Caenorhabditis elegans: one gene and its partners. The protein of the gene in region 2 interacts with the protein of the main gene of each other region in a pairwise test. Each region holds a gene or a part of one and is shown on either strand. Other genes may lie near its edges.

The links. The genes of interacting proteins can lie anywhere in the genome.
Region 1: the proteins of F42H10.3 (region 2) and tag-343 interact in a two-hybrid assay, tested with the Caenorhabditis elegans proteins (one large-scale study listed by BioGRID).
Region 3: the proteins of F42H10.3 (region 2) and R08E3.3 interact in a two-hybrid assay, tested with the Caenorhabditis elegans proteins (one large-scale study listed by BioGRID).

What each region holds. Positions count from the first base shown.
Region 1 is NC_003284.9:16,671,714-16,676,635, forward strand, and holds the start of tag-343 (RNA polymerase II-associated factor 1 homolog), read right to left. Parts: upstream 3,020-4,922; coding exon 2,938-3,019; intron 2,892-2,937; coding exon 2,752-2,891; intron 2,710-2,751; coding exon 2,600-2,709; intron 1,563-2,599; coding exon 1,430-1,562; intron 1,388-1,429; coding exon 1,228-1,387; intron 932-1,227; coding exon 849-931; intron 84-848; coding exon 1-83.
Region 2 is NC_003281.10:8,482,613-8,488,884, reverse strand, and holds F42H10.3 (LIM and SH3 domain protein F42H10.3), read right to left. Parts: upstream 4,733-6,272; 5' UTR 4,728-4,732; coding exon 4,558-4,727; intron 4,508-4,557; coding exon 4,423-4,507; intron 3,899-4,422; coding exon 3,806-3,898; intron 3,759-3,805; coding exon 3,662-3,758; intron 2,243-3,661; coding exon 2,144-2,242; intron 1,479-2,143; coding exon 1,365-1,478; intron 1,186-1,364; coding exon 992-1,185; intron 919-991; coding exon 763-918; 3' UTR 520-762; downstream 1-519. Other genes in the region: Splicing factor ESS-2, read left to right, coding at 66-429.
Region 3 is NC_003284.9:4,817,040-4,822,234, reverse strand, and holds R08E3.3 (CCDC22 N-terminal domain-containing protein), read right to left. Parts: upstream 3,643-5,195; 5' UTR 3,618-3,642; coding exon 3,568-3,617; intron 3,514-3,567; coding exon 3,451-3,513; intron 3,395-3,450; coding exon 3,283-3,394; intron 3,233-3,282; coding exon 3,106-3,232; intron 3,050-3,105; coding exon 2,937-3,049; intron 2,529-2,936; coding exon 2,262-2,528; intron 2,215-2,261; coding exon 2,092-2,214; intron 2,045-2,091; coding exon 1,931-2,044; intron 1,883-1,930; coding exon 1,781-1,882; intron 1,715-1,780; coding exon 1,508-1,714; coding exon of another isoform or gene 1,418-1,507; intron 1,141-1,417; coding exon 1,009-1,140; intron 965-1,008; coding exon 824-964; 3' UTR 520-823; downstream 1-519.

The DNA.
Region 1 (4,922 bases), on a different chromosome or scaffold from region 2:
GACGAGTTTTGTCCAGACTCCTGAACTCCATAGATACCATCATCCACAAATGGGAGACCCGAGATTGTGATTGGGGTGGTTTCCTGAAATTTAAAAATTTTCTTAAGTTTAGTAGTTTTTAGACACCAAAATTGCAATACTTCTTGGCTGAAAATGTACCACTATCCACAAAGTAAATATTGTTTGGAAATTGTTAAAAACCACTCCTTTGGTCCCAAAATGACCAAATATCATGATAAAACTTTTCAAACATTTTTTGAAAATTTTTTATGTACTGTCAAAGAGTGGAAATTACTCAGTTTTTGCCATTCATATTTTTGGAAGTCGACCAAAAAAAAATTTTTTTTCGACATTTTTTATGTTTTAATTTTGTTTAAATTTTTTGTATGAAAGCATCGGAGGTGTCGAAACATGCGGAATTGCTTTGGATTTCCTCAAAAGCTCGTATTTTTGAAAATTTTGACAACTTGCCAAAACTTTGACTGAAAATTACGAAAAACCTAAAATTTTTGGAGTGTATTATTATGATATTCGGTTGTTTCGGGTAATTTTAAGTACATTTAGACAAAATCCCCACTGGCGCTATTCCACCTTTAAGTTAAAAAGAGTTGTGAATTTTTTTGCAATGTTTCATCACGATAGGTTTTGGGAGCTATTATGAGTATTTTGAGGCAATACAAAAACGTTTCTATACTCCACTTTTGTTTACAAATTATCAACTACATATCAGTTGAAAGTTTTGAACAATTAGCTGGCTGAGAAATCAAACAATTTCAAGCCTTCAAAAGATACCAGGTCCAAATTGTAAATATCTCCTATTTAGGCAAAAAAGTGCCATTGAAAAGTACCTGTACTTTCTCCATGAAAGAATCGAATTGATTTACAGACATTTTCCAATATCTCCTCCGATGTTCGTCATTCAGCCGATCTTCTGAAATTATTAGAACGTTTTCTTTGCAATTCCCACACTGGTAGGTACAGGAAAAAACAAATATCGCCGGATTGGCAGTTTATTTTTCTAGCGATTCGCCAGCCCGAAAATGTTTGATTTAAATGGTCGTCACGTTTTACGAGAAAAGAGGGCGAAAAATGGAGAGAGATGGAAAGTGATAATTCTTATCGAGAGCACTCAATGCCAAAAACTATTCGGTCTGTTTACAACTTTTAACACGGCGCGAGAAAGCTATGCAAACGCTGAATCAATACAAAAATTTCAATCACACTCACCCATTTGTTTTTGAAATGTACAAGACGTGTTGATAGTGAACTTGGGACACTCTGATAAACCGAATCTTCGTAAAAGAGGCTCGAAAGTTCTGGAGCCGTCGGACGCTGTGATGAACACAACAATACTGTTGCGTACATGTTCTGGAAGATTGGAGAGAACCTGGAAATGTGAAAGTAGGATCTGAAGTCAAGTTCTAGATACCTGTTGCAGTTCGTCTTCTTCGTGCATGCTCATTCTGTGCAACTGTGAGAACACAATTGCAATAACGTCCAGTCTCATCTTCCAATTGTTAAGAAGCCATTTATGTATTAAAGATGGCGAATCGAAACCATCACTGAAATTTAATTATTATTGTATTTTTTTAATCCAAGTTGTATATTTTTTGTACTGTAAAAATTACTGTCTTAAGAGTTTTCTGCATTTTTCGTAAAGTTAGTGGTTAAAAAATTTTGAAATACATTGCAATAAACAATTGAAATACATTATGTATTTTTTTTAATTTAGTAGATTAACCAAAGTAGACAGATATTATCATCATAAAAGCTCCTAACAGAGGAGGATTTTACAAGTTCTGGCTAAATTTGTAAAAAGAAACACCCGTCGTACGGCTATTTAAACTACTAGGATCATTTATCTGGAAGGAATAAAATGATTATCACGTATTTAAAAAAAAACAAAATAGTATAAGATTTTCAATAAAGTGTTAAAAAACACACAAAAAAATGGCTGAGAAAATGCAAAACGTAAGCTATGCTCCTATTATGAAATCTTCAACAATTAAAATTTTTGCAATTTTAGAATTTTGAACAGAAGAGTTGCCGATAATTTAAATCATATAATTTCGAAATAATGAATTCAAAACCTATAGAAATCTAAAAGTAAGGTCCCTAGAAACCCCAAAAACTATTGAACACCTTATAAAACAAGAAGAGTTCTTTTTAGTCCTGTTTACATTTACTTTGATTTACGACCAGATAACAAGTCGAGATTTTACGACCTGTTGTTGGCCTAATGGTAGAAGACAGTGGTTAAATGACATGGACCTCTCCATCGCCACAGCAAAATTGTACATTTGATTATGACTGCTATGAGGGACTTAGAGGGACGGTCCTTTTGTTCCCAATAAGAGCCTACATTCAATAGTACATTAAATACATAACTGGGTTTGAACATTTGACACTGCTCTAAGTTTCAAGAAAATGGTAAAGTTTTGGCCAATTTAGTTTTAATTTAATTTTAATTTGTACCAGAAACCCAAAGTCGGTAGATATCCTATTTCTTGTTTTAACATTAATTCTAAGAATAATTTATTATGCTCATTGGAATTTGCAACTTTTATGATTTTTTCCCAATTTTGAAAAAAAAACCTACTATGTATCTCCACACGCGATCATATCCAGAATTACAGGACGAACCGACATTTTTGTTTCGTTAAAAATATAGCACTGTACAGGTTTTGTAGGAGTTTCCGAGTTGAATTTCTGCAATTCAATACTTACTTTTTCATATTACAATTGTAATACTTCATTGGAAATGTGAAATCTCCTTTGATCCATTGAATCCACTCCATAAAAATAATTACACAAAAAATCGATAAGTTCTGACTTTTGAGAACTTGTTGGTCCTAACAATAAGACTACCCGGTTTTCGCGTTCTTCGTTGTCTGAAAAAAAAAACAGTAAAATTCTCAAGATAATTAAGACTCCAACCTTCCTTCGCCGAGACAAATACAGTCCTAACATCCTTCTGTTCGAGAGCTTCACCCACAAATTTCGAGTCTGGGGAGATCATGTCCTCGAGCAGAGGAGTATCGGAAAGTGCTCTACAAGTTTTGATCAGTTATTTGAGTTGGGATGTGTTGCGGCGTACAAAATGTATAATATGCAAAATGTTTGTTTTGGTCATCGCAGTTTAGTTAAACTTTCATGAAGTGTAAGGTTTCGATTTGAACTGCAATAGTTTTTGAATAGGGCAAAAAGAAATTGTAGGGTTTAAAATACTATTAACCAGAACACAAAATTTAACCCTTGAAATAAGCAGTTTTTTACCCTGCACTTATTAATTTAACAAGAGAGCATTCGGATAACTTATATATTGTCAACAACACTACAAAAAACATTCGAGAAAAGATGAAAACAAATTGTTTTAAAAAAACTTTTTTGAAACATCGGAGAAAAATATAATTTCTACGTTTGAATTTTGAGAAAATTTTAAAAAATCGCCAAAAAATAATATTTGCCATAATACTAAATCTGGCTGAGATCTTAAAATTATTTTCAGAAAGTACTAAAAATCTGCAACAAATCTGCTGAAAAATTGAGAAAAAGGATTGTCGCCGTCAAACGACCTTACTTGAAGTTTTGAAAAATCTATTTTTCTCCTAATAATTATATTTCCTTTTCTAACGCAAATTCTGGGATACCTAATTAAATTGTGATGATATTCTCTAAAGAACTGAAAACCTGCACTAAAACTATTATAAAAGAAACATTTTTAATTATGCAGAGATAATATGGTGATGCAAGTTATTATTTTATAAATTGAGTCGTCAGTTAAAAAGGGGATGAACTAATCTCAACGTCAGTTAGAAAGAACATATTTTAAAGTTTCAAAAAAAAACTAATGTAGAAAAAATCGAACATTTCATTTTGCACAAACACGTTGAGTCACAAATGTGGGGTTGCCGAGCTGTGAAAGTGCACACGCAAAGAAACAAAAACTGTTCTTATCATCAAAACCAATGATAATTATTTTATTCCTATTCTACCGCTTATGTTTTTAAGTATAACGGTACTAGATCAGAATCAAAGACCTGTTGCGAAACTGTATGTTAGGGCACTTAAAACATCTTCAGCTAGCACTAAAATTCCAGGAAATTTTCGATTTAACCATGTTTGTATTGTATTCCTCACTGCGAATTCCACCACACTGATAACTCATTCCTGTCAACACACGTACACACATACCTGATCATTTTATAGCCGAATACTTTCCGTTAGGTTGGCTGTAAATCAGCGTTGAGAAGTCATAAATCGGTTATGGTCTTGACGTAAAAGTGAGAAAAATGATACATGATGATGGGTGATAATAGTGATAATAGAGGAGAAGAGAACATATCATATTTGGTAGTAGGATTGAAACCTGTTTTTTTTGTTCGATAACCTCCAGCAGCTACACGATTCATATAATTATTACGCCATTGCAGTGTATAAGGTGTACATGTATGGGTGTCCTTGTCACCACTTTTTGATCGAACGCTTCCCAAATTGAATGGTGAAACGGTACAGTGAAAGCAATAAAGTGTGAAGTACAGCTTGTTAAGAATGTTCTGCAAGACTTGTTTAATAATTATAGTTACAAACTCAAAAACTTTTGAAAAAATATTATGGTGGACACTCAGCCAAATAACTGAAAAATTGACTACTAGCTCGAAAACGATAATAAATTAAAAAAAAAACTATTGTATGTAGGATATAGAAAATTTTTCACGGAGGTTATCTTTTTCACAGTTATGAATAAACTTATTGTTTAGACACTCACACCAGTGAGCATATTTGCATTTTAGTTAAATGCGAGGGGGCAGATAGCTCAGTCGGTAGTGGTGGCCGCTAGCAGTCTGGAGGTCACGAGTTCAAGTCCGGCCTCACCCCCTAGGTTTACCCAGCCTCTATTGGGAAGTGGAGCAATCCACGAC
Region 2 (6,272 bases):
TTCTCTATGGTATTAAAATCTATAACGAGATAATAGTACTTCAAATAATTTTCAACTTGGTAAAGTTTCAGCCGAACACCTGGATTTGGATCCAAGCGAGTCTCAGACAAGCTTGCACAATTATCTCCTGCTGCTCAAAAGTTGGCAACCAAGAAGCTTGGATTAAAAATGTTACCTGCTCACAAATCTCCTTTCGCCTCGCCGAAAATCATGTCGAATTGGTCAAGACCGTCAAGTTCAAAGCGATCCACAACTCCTGGTTCTGCATGGAGTCGTGGTTCTACTACACCTGGATCATCTTGGAGCCAAGGAGCACAAACTCCTGGCACACCTGGGATTGAATCTATGATCCGAAGAAAAGGGGATAACGTCGGACCTTCAACATCAGCCGGAGCTGCAGATAGAGCAAATGCTGGAGACTTTTTCTAATATTATAAGATTAGTATAATTTAGATCTGTATATTTTGTTCTCATGTGCCTTATAGACACGGTTTATTATTTATGACAATGGCCTAATAATTGATAGTAAATTCATTTATTATAATTTTTAATTTTTAAATTTCAGCACCATATAACATTTTAGAAGATTGAAAAACAAATGGAGAAAAGGCATTCAGAAGGTGAACAGAACCCGTTTGTGGGATTTTCAGAAAGTTGAAAAAATAACTGCAGAAGCCTGAAGCATAATTGAAGCATTTAGGGGAAATGTGTGAGCAAGAGCAGGTCATGGAGAGATAGAAAATGTGCGTGGGTTTGGAAATATTAAGAAAGTCGGTGCAATCCGGTAGGAAGTTTATGTGGTTGAACATAATTTGCAGGTAGCATTCCCCATTGAAGAGTTCGTTGAACTGTTCCTGTCATCCATCCATCATCAATTTTCTCGCAGTTCACGATGATATCACCTTCGAGGAATGAAATCTGGAATCAAATATTTTAGATGGTTGAATAAATTTTCATCGTGAAACTGGTTGAAAACCTAATTTAAATTTACCTCGTCTTTATCAGCAGCAGCGTAATCATAAATTGCCTTAACTGCAAATCCAGCTTTTCCAGTCGGTGAAATTGTGCTTTGTGGAGAAGAAAGTGTTGAATGTGGAGATGTTGAAGATATACTATTTGATGATGGAGGTGGAGCTCCTGCAAAATCCGCACAAAATCTTGCCGGACCTTTATCCACTTGAGCCTCTGCAACAAGCGGTTAGTTTCAATTAATGACAGATCAAAATTATTCAAAATGAGCTTTTTAAAAGATTATTTCTTCCACAAAACGAATTAATAAGTACCAAAACGTGCAAAAAATTTGTGTGGATTACAAATGAGCAAATCATTCAAACAAAAGCCAAAAAAAAAAACAAAATCCTTACTCAAATATCCAAGTTTCTCGGAATTTCTCGGTTGAGCAGCAGCTGTACCCCATTGTCCGTTCATTGGATCATAGTCAGCAATACTTCCGATTGATTTTTGTGGTGTTGGAGATACTGAAAGCGAAGAAAAATAACAATGCACAACACAAAAGCTTTTAGAAAATTACACATGAAGCACAACGAAAAATTTGGACTTTATATAACTAGATACCATAAATTAGACAAGGCTTAGGCTTGGCGTCAGTGGGGGAGCGTTAGCTCCCCCACTGACGCGCGATAAAAGTGGCTATTTAGGCTGAAGCCGCGCCATACCGCCGGTGTGTCATAAGGATTTCCAATATTTTATTCCAGTTGGGCATCCTAGTATGTTTTTCGGCCCTTTAGGCTTAAGTGTGTCATAAGGATTTCCAATATTTTATTCCAGTTGGGCATCCTAGTTTTTTTTCGGGCCCTTAGGCTTAAGTGTGTCATAAGGATTTCCTATATTTTATTCCAGTTGGGCACCCTAAGTCTAAATAGCTCTTTTTCTTTTCTTTTGCGCTCCAAGCGCAAGGAAAAACCTTATTGTAACTTTTTAAGAGGTTAGGCTTAGGCTTAGGCTTAGACTTAGGCTAGGCTTAGACTGAGACCTAGCATTATCTTAATTTTTGGTCAAATAATGTATCCGTACAAAAATCAGCAACAAAATCAGCAATAACTTTTATAGGCATTCAATCAGTTTTTCAATACACAAGGTGCTCTTTTTGGATGCTCATTAATCAATTCAATTGCTAACTAACCTGCTCCACCTTGCTCTGTTGAGTAGATCAAATGCGTATTTGCGGCTACTGCTTGTGTTGGAGCCGAATATGATTGATGGTTCATTGGAGAGATTGGAGCTGCAATAAATGGTTAGTGGAAAAAAAAAGTGAGTTGAAAAATGGAGAAGATTGATTTGTTGGAAATAATTCTTTAATTAAATGTATTCTTTATTGAAAAAATCAGTTTGTCATGGTTAATGTAGGATTTGAATAGATAGAAAAATAATAGTCATGATCAGAAATCGAACTGAAAGGAAAATTAAGCTTTAACAGTTTTGGCTGGCCCTTTCTTAAAAGTCGATTTGACTGCTTTCGGCTTTTGGTCAATAACTGGGACGGATGGAGCTGGAGTGGGCTCAGTGGGTTGTGGTGGAACAACAACACCTGAAGGTGTATTTTGTATGAAACAAATGAAGAGATTTGAGAAATAAGTGAACATTAGGACATTGATATGACACGAAAAGAAGTTGAAAATTAAAGTTCAATCTAAAAAGTATTTTCACTCAAAGCCATTTTGGAAAGTTTTCTATAATTCTATATACTAACTGAATGAAGAATTCAGCTTTCTAGAAACAACACTGCAAGTTTGCTTTTTCAATTGTAGAACATCTAAGATATTCTTCTTTAAAAACAGTGTTATTTTTTTAGAAGAAAACTCTGTTATCTGTTTGGCCTAAAAAAGTATGTACCTGGCTGAAAAGTTGGCAAAGTTTAGTCCAAATCTGGACAAAACTTAAGTTTAGATTAACCTAATCCTGATAAAAATATTTGATTCAAAATTTGTCATGTCAAATTTGGCTATATATATTGTTAGACCAATTTTGGACTGAATATTGGCGCGACCTAGAGCAACAACCAAGTTAATACTTTTGCCAAAATTTGGCAAGAACTTGTCCCACATAGTTTTTACAATTTTCAATAAGCGAGAGTCTTTAGTAATTTTCTTTCAGCTTTGAGCAAGAACACTTTAAGATTGATTATAAATATCTGCTCTAGAATTATGGCTAGCTGAAAAAAGCAAAGATGAGGTAGAAGAAAACAAACAAAACGTATCTAATCTAGATATCGATATACCATATTTCCCCTCAAAATGTGCCAAAAGTGTACAAAATGTTTCCAGTACAGTTTCAGAGAATATGGTAAATATGAAAAAAGAAACATTGAAAACTAATTCTAAAAAAAAAGCGAATTCTATCTAGGATATACAATCACCGGAATTTGCCAATAATCATCGTCTTCTTCTTCCTCATCAACTTCTTTTTCTTCATACTTCTCTTCAGTTTCTTGAACCATTGCCACTCCAATTCCATACACAACTCCTCCATTTCCAGTGACCAGTTGATAAACTGGCAGTAAAAAGCGATACAAAAACAATAAGAGAAAAGTGAGGAAAATTGAAAAAAGAATTAAAAGTTTTTCCCGTGCAAGACTTTTGACATAACTTGGACGATACAATTCTCAAGTCCATGGGGACAACAAAATGGAAGAACAACTTACTTGGAGTTGGGTTTGGTGAGATTTCCTCTTTTGGACGGACTTCTTCTTGACGAGCTTTTTGGTCGAGAACTCCGTGATAGGAAACATTTGATTGAACCTTAAAATAGCATTATTCTATTCTATCTTTAAAAATTTATTTCCAACCTGAGTATTTTTCTTCAGTCTTTCCATCTCTGGATCATCAGCAATTTCGATCTTTGTTCCCTTCATTTTCTCGTATTCGGCGTGGTATTTGATCTAAAATTTCAGATTATGAAAATTTGAAAATCAGTTATAGGAAGTAGCAGGTTTTATTGAATAAAACTAGCTATTTTGTTTATAGTTTTTTTTGTGTTTTTTCGAAATTTTGGAAACTCGAAGAATTTGAAAATTTCGTATATTTTATAAACTCAAATTTGAGTTAATTTTTACATTTTTAGTATGGAAAATTCTCATTATATACTAAGATGAACATTATATTAGAACTCTTCAAGAAAACTTGATTTACAGTAGTTTCCGTGGCGAGATCCTTTTTTTGAGAATCCATAATTTGACACCACTACAAATTTTTTAAGTGCCGAATTCGACAAAATTTATTTGTGTAGATTTTATAATATTTTTGATTTTGATTTTACAAATATTTTACAGATATTTTTTGGAAGAATTTTAAAAACTCTTTACAATTTTTGGGATAACATTCTCAAATGTTATATTTTTTAATTATAAATGAGATTTATGGGGAGACGATTTATTTTTTCTCTAAATTTTTTGCAAAAACTTACGTTACTCTGATTTTTAGTATTCTCTGCGATTCTTCTCATTTCTGGAGTATCCGCCATCACTGAAGCCACGGTTTTTGGATAATGTCTGAAAATAGTTGAAAATTTAGAAATTGAAATATTCTCATAAAAACTAACGGATCACAATACGGTCTCTTGTCGTATCCCTTATAGTTTTTCATATTCAATGTCATTCCGCAAACAGTGCATTTGAAGCATTGCTTGTGCCAAACTTTATCAAGACATTTCAGTTCCTCAACTGGATATACCGTCTTCCCGCAATCTTCGCGAGCACACTTTTTGCTCATTTTCTGGAAATAAAAACTGTAGAATATGAAGATTGAAGATATTTGAATAAACTAGAAAAAAATACAAATAGAAATCATAATAATGTTTTTGTAAATTGGCAAAAATTGGTAAAATTCATAAGAGTTTTGAGAATTGTCACATATTTTTACCCTATCAGAATAAAAACATATATTTTTGGGTTTATAAAATTATGTGTGGTAAAATTAAAAGTTGCCAGTTTAAATAAATCAAATTTGGGTTTTTCGGAAAATTTTAATATTAAATCTGTCAATTTGAGGTATTATCTTTGCTGAACCTTAATCTTTATAATTCTAACTTTTAAGACAAAACAAAATTTTTTTTTAATTTATAATTTGGAAATACTTTCCAAATTCTATGCTTTTTGGAAAGTTTCACCCTTGGACGGGAACGAAAGTTGTATGGCATAAATGATAGATAAGGCGAAACAAAGAAACATAGACAGATAGAGTAAATAAATTGAATGGTTAGGTTAGGTTGGATGTAGAATGGTAGGAAAATGACGGATAGACAAAAAAATGTATGAGTAAAAGTAAACGAGGCGAGAAACGAACGAGGGATGAAATGGGCGGATAGGGTGATTGTACAAAGATTTCGGGTAAAAAATTGAGAAATAGCGGGAAAGAAGAATGTGTTATTTATTCATGGAGCCCCCTTCTTCACTCCCCGACAAGACACTACACACAACTCTCACACATTTATGTTTGTGCTCATTTTGACTTTCCATACTCACATTGTTATCACACATATCAGTGAAATCAGGGAACTTGGTTTGTTTTGGCAAACGATTAAGTTGCGGTAAACGTATTGTTGGTTTGGGAAGAAAATGAAAAATGTATTATAATATATGAACAAAAGTGTAGTGGAGGCGATATGAATAATATAATAATATTTAATAATATATATATATATATATATATATATATATATATAATATTTCCCGAAAATTTAAATGTCCTCCATTTCTTTTTTTGCGATTTTCGGAGCCCAACTATAGTTTTTGCTTCAATTAATATTCAATTTTACAGAGAACCGGAAAAATTATTTTGATTTGAAGGAGTTTTTGTTTTAAATGTTCGGTAAATTACGAAATAATACTTTTATAATGAGTCCAAATTTCAAAAAAATGAGCAGGCATCTGTCCATTTTTGAAAGTAGTTCAAAAGGATTGTAGATGACCTCTCAAGAAACTATTAAAAAAGAAGAAGACGAAGCAAAGGGTACTAGTCTATTGAGAAGCTCATTTTCGAAAAAGTAGTTTTGAGTTTAAAATAGCTCCCTCCACATAAGAAAGATACGGGTCGCATCCTCGGAGCCGGCGGCGAAGAGAAGATGGGGAAGCGGTGTAAAGTGAAAAGTGAACACTTGGAAGAAGCCGTGCATACAACATGTTGATGATGCATCATCATTTTGTATGAAATTTCAAACGTTTTTTTTTTATATTGAAACCCAATTTGGAAAAAAAATGTATTGAAGCTGAACGGAATTCGAAAAATGTGCAAAAAACGACGTTGAAAAACTTTTGT
Region 3 (5,195 bases), on a different chromosome or scaffold from region 2:
AAGTCATCAATCAAAAAAAATTCCTTCAATTTTTACGGTTTAATTATGTTCCGAACGATAATATTCAAACATTGTAGAGAATCGAACATGCGACAGTGCTGTAGTTTTCTCAAAAAGTGACAAAACCTCAGTAATTGCCACTTGTTGCCTGTCACTGAAAAAAAAATTCTGGAAAAGTTTAACTGTGATATGGTATTTTTGGCGCCATATGATTGGTTTTAAACAACATCGGAGCAACTCATGTTGAACTTCTTTCAAAAAACTTTTTTTAGAAACAAATGTTCACTAAAAATTGTTACCCAATTTTTTTGACTTCCTATTATAATACAAATTTTTCTTTCACCGCACTCTAAAAATTATCAAAAAGTGCTGAACCACACCTGTTCCCCTAAAAATTACGAGCGTCATTTTGATTCAAACGACAATCAGTGGAAGCTTTGAACATTTGAAAAAAAAGTGACGTCATAATTCTTCCCGTTGATAAGACTCTTAATTTTTCGCTCACTCATCTAAAGATGGTTTACAAAGAAAATTTTCATTGAACTAGAATGATACTAAAAAAATTTTCTTACAACATTTCGGTTTAACACACAAACAAACAAAAAGTCAATAAAATAATTAGAAAAAAATGAAGTGAATGGCAAATGACAGCGGAGCGTTGAGAGGAACAAAAATATGCTTGTTTGATCCAACTTTGATCACAGTATAAGGTTATTCCTATCCAAAAGTTAAAAAAAACAGGATCACAAATTAATCCGTAAAACAAAGATATGCTTAAAAAGATATGAAAAAAAAACGAAAAAATTTCGATTATGAGTTGCATTTAGGTGGTTGGCATTTGGAAGTCAGGCTTTTTGAGACGGATTTCAGAAAACAGTTGGTCATTCAAGTCGCTGATTTCTTGATAGTCCTGATGCAACAGTTCAAACTGTTTGTCGTACTGCTTCTGCTCCTCGACATAAATCTGAAAGAAAATTGTACTTTAAACAACTAAAAAAGAGCAAAAACCTCTGATTGAAGGATTCCAACTGCTTGTTTCAGAGCACCGTTTTCTCTTAACATCTCCAGAATCTCCATGCAATACAAATGAATTCGTGTGAATGATTCCATGGCCAGGCGTCCACGATAATGATCGCAATGCTAAAATATGAATAGTTAAAATGAATAGGAGTAGTGCACTTGGGAATATCGTCCAAATACCCCTTTAAAAATTTTGATGGACATTGACCATGAAATTTTTTTTGTTTTGCGCATATTCTAAAAATCACGCAATTGGCCAATCAAGACCTAAAGCTGGGACGCGCAAAAAAAATTAATTTTTTTCTTTAAAATTTGAAAAATAGCGGAAAATATCCAAGAATATACATTACAAGGCCGCTCATAAATAGATACTGAAAATTCTTCTGAAAGTTTTATTTTATTTTATTTTATTTTTTTCCATGGAAGACCCTTCTAAAACAGCCCTTCTCAGATAACTATGCGAGAAATAAGAGCAAGAAATTTTAACCTGAAGAAGAATATTGTAGATGATAGCAAACGATCTGTTGACCGCCTCGCTTTCTCGTTCTTCTTGCTTTCGGAGTGCATGCCGTTCCTCTTGCATTTTCACCATGTCTTGCTCTTGTTTCCGAACCATCGCATCCAGTTCTTTACTTCTTTGCTCGAGTACGTACATGCTTTGCACATCATCATCAATTTTTGACAGCTTCTTTCTCTGAAAATATTACCGTATATGTTATTCAAAGATTTTTTGGCTACAGCTGATTAAACTTAAACTTACAAGCTTTTCAGCTAACATCACGTTACTTTCAATCCTCTCATCAACACCTTCCAAATCTGCTTCCATTTCTTGAATTCGCCTTATTTCTTCATCATCCGTACCCTGGAATTTAAACTTTTTTAAACTTCTGAAGGCATAATTTTCTCATACCAAGTTTTTCAGTTCCTCTCTCATTTGCAGTTTCTTCTGAGCATTGGCTTGTTTTGTGTTCTCAATTATCTGCGTGTCTTCTTCCATTTGCTTATTTAATTCAGCAATTTTGCCCTGAAAATGAAAAGTTATCTCAAAACTAGATGTACCTAGCAACTAACCATCAACTTCTGAACGTATGCTTCTGGGTCATCAAGAGCTTCAATAAGTTCTGGCTTGTATTTTGATAGCTTATTTTCGAGCTCTCTGTTTTGCTCTTCAAACTGCGAGCGTTTCTCTTGTAACTGAAATAGTTAGTATGAAATTTTGACACTTTCAATGACAAACTAACAGCTTTATACTCTGCAAGTTTCTGCTCATATTCAGCTTGTAAAACTAAGTTTTCATTATTTTCTTCCGTCGCTTCTTCAACAGTTTCTTCTTCCTTATCGACTTTTTTGGCAAAAATTGGCTTTGGTGGAAGTGCAGGCTTTGTCAGCTTGAAGTTGAAGTCTTTCTCTGTGTGACTGGAGTTTATGTATTGCGAAATCCATTTTCTAGGATCAGAGTTTGGGATGGGTTTATTGAAGTTGCAAAGTGGGAAGGTTTCCGGAGTATTCTGAAAAAAATAGATTAAAAACTCTAAATTCAAGTTTTCAAGTTCTTGTTCGAAATAAAACTGTTTGTTTCATAGAAAATTAGACAATTAATGTCAGAGTCCAGAAAAAAGTTTTGATAATTTGAAATTAGCATTCAATCAAGCTCAGAAATTTGAAAAGTGCTCAAAAATGGTATGAAGGATGTCAATCAAGTTTGATAATTCGATAATTGGCAATTGTTAAATTTCAAGCTACCTTTGAGTACATTCTCAAGTGCTTCAGTTAAAGTGAAACTTTTTTTTAGATAAATCGTCTTTTCTATATTTTCACACTAATTATTAATGAATAATGTCGGTACAACAATACATTCGGCTTTTTGTTTCAGAGTTTAGCTTCAATTCAAATTTCAAAAAAAAAATTCCACACACATTTGGCAATTTCCATTCCCGATTTCTGTTCAATCCACGACAGTACACAGGAACCCATTCTGGTTGTGATTTCTCGTGTTTGACTACACTTTCCAGAAACTGATGACCCTGGTCTGAAATCAATCTTTTTTTTTAAATTTTTTTTAATGAAGTGAAGATTAGTGTTTACCTAGAGAAACGGCCTCTTGTGCGTCGGCCGGCAATTTCCTTATCAGTTCAATGAATGCACTGCGAAGATTGTTGATATTGCCGTATAAAACTGTGTGAAGGGCGGTGTCTCCGCGAATGTGAAATTTCTGAAATGAAAGGAATTATAAAGTTGAGATTAGTCAGGGGTTGACGTTACCTGCAGATAGTTAGAAATTGCGTTTCCAAGTTGCAGCCTGGTAGTTATAACTTTTGGATATACATATGACGAAATTGTTTGTTTACTACTATTATCTATTTTCCAAATACATCTGAAATATTGTGAATAAAAAATTAATAAAACGAAATCAAAAATAATAAATATTACCTTACTAAAAACTCAAAAATCTGAGGTGTGCTGAATTCTATTTCATCTTCATCAGCAAACGAGCTGAAAATAATAATATTTTAAAGAATAAAATTAGATTTCAGACAAAAAACATACCACTCAAGATGTCGGCAAGCGTCTCTGATGAAAGCATCAGCTTCCTCCATTTTCCGCAGGTGAAATTCCCTGAAAACAAAATAAATAGTGTTAAATGTTCATGTATATATTAGTGATAAAAGATTTCAGTGGTATATAAACAAATAAAAACAATTTGTAAAACATAGATAGTGAAAAAGAAAAAAATCTGCATTGCGTCCGATGCGCAGAATTCTACGACATTTGTTTACCGTAGTCTAAAAAAGAAGGCAACACACGGGGGATGGACACAGAGTGACCTAGTGACGGTGGTAATATTTGTGAGGCATGAAAGTTATTTTTCGAGAATTAATTTTGAATGTGAAACTATTCATTTTTACTTAAATACAAACACCGAGATCATATTTGCGCAAATTTAAGCATAATTTAAAACAAGATGTCATGAAGCTTTCTGTGCTACAGGCATTTTTGAACTTTTGAAAGTAATTTTTTTTAATTAATGGTTTTTCATAATTCAAATGAAAAGATTGAGGTTTGCACATTTTAAGAGCACCATTTTTGTTGCGAGGGCGAAAAACCACATTTCTTAACTTCTGCAACAAAAATTCGACAATAAAGCATTGTTTAACTTACAAGGAAAGTTTTTAAACTCACTTTAAAAAAACTCTCTAAAAAGGTTTATGCAAAAGTATCGCAACAGAGAAACACTATGAGCTGATATAAAGCCGACCTGAAAAATAAGGCCCGCAAAATTCCTAACAGAATTTTATTCCTAGTGTTTTCAAGTCTTAAACGCTCCTCAGTCGCTATACTTTCAGTTTTTTTTTGTCAAAAGTTTCCATTACTAAATATTTTGAAAATACTAATTACCAAAAGTCAGATTTACAGGTAAAATATTTTTTGTGGTAGAATTTTTCTTATACTTCACTGAAATTCGAGAAAAACTCCGCCTCGAATATATGTTATGGACATCAATTGAATTAAAAATTGCATTTTCTGCATACATTTATAGTTTGGACAATTTCCAGTTTGGTTGAAAACTCAAAAGAACAGCATGATCCAGAGAAACAAATTAGTGCGGAATATTGTCTCTTGGGGATATAAGTTCCAATTAGAGTCTGATTCATTTGTCTGCATTTTTGATATTTTAATTCAAATTTGCTCAATCGCAACCATATTCTCACATTTTCCGTTATTGTTTGTTTCAATAAGTTGTTTGGAACTATTAAAAGCAAAACTCTTAAGAAAGAGAATCCCACAAAAAGGCAATTGCATGGATGTCCTGAAAAACCGAATTTACTAAACAATTTGCATGTTGTTTAAAATTTTTCTAGTTTCAGTTATGCAAAACGTTAATAGAATTCTATGACTCACTAGAGTGATAATTGAAAAATCTCCGCCGAATCAATGAACTCTAGTGTATTTACATTATTACGCTGCCAGATTTACAACATCCATAGTGGGAATGACGACAAGTGTGAAAAAGGTCGTAAAGTGAACAGCTGGATGTGTTGGCGACCCGTAAAAGGTCAGTTTACTCTATGAGTACAATATTTTTGCGGCCGTACATTTTTTGGCGAAAACAACTACTATCGATTTCAAAATTTTGATGTTTTCGTGGTTTCATAGTGGCACCTGCTGGCTAGGTC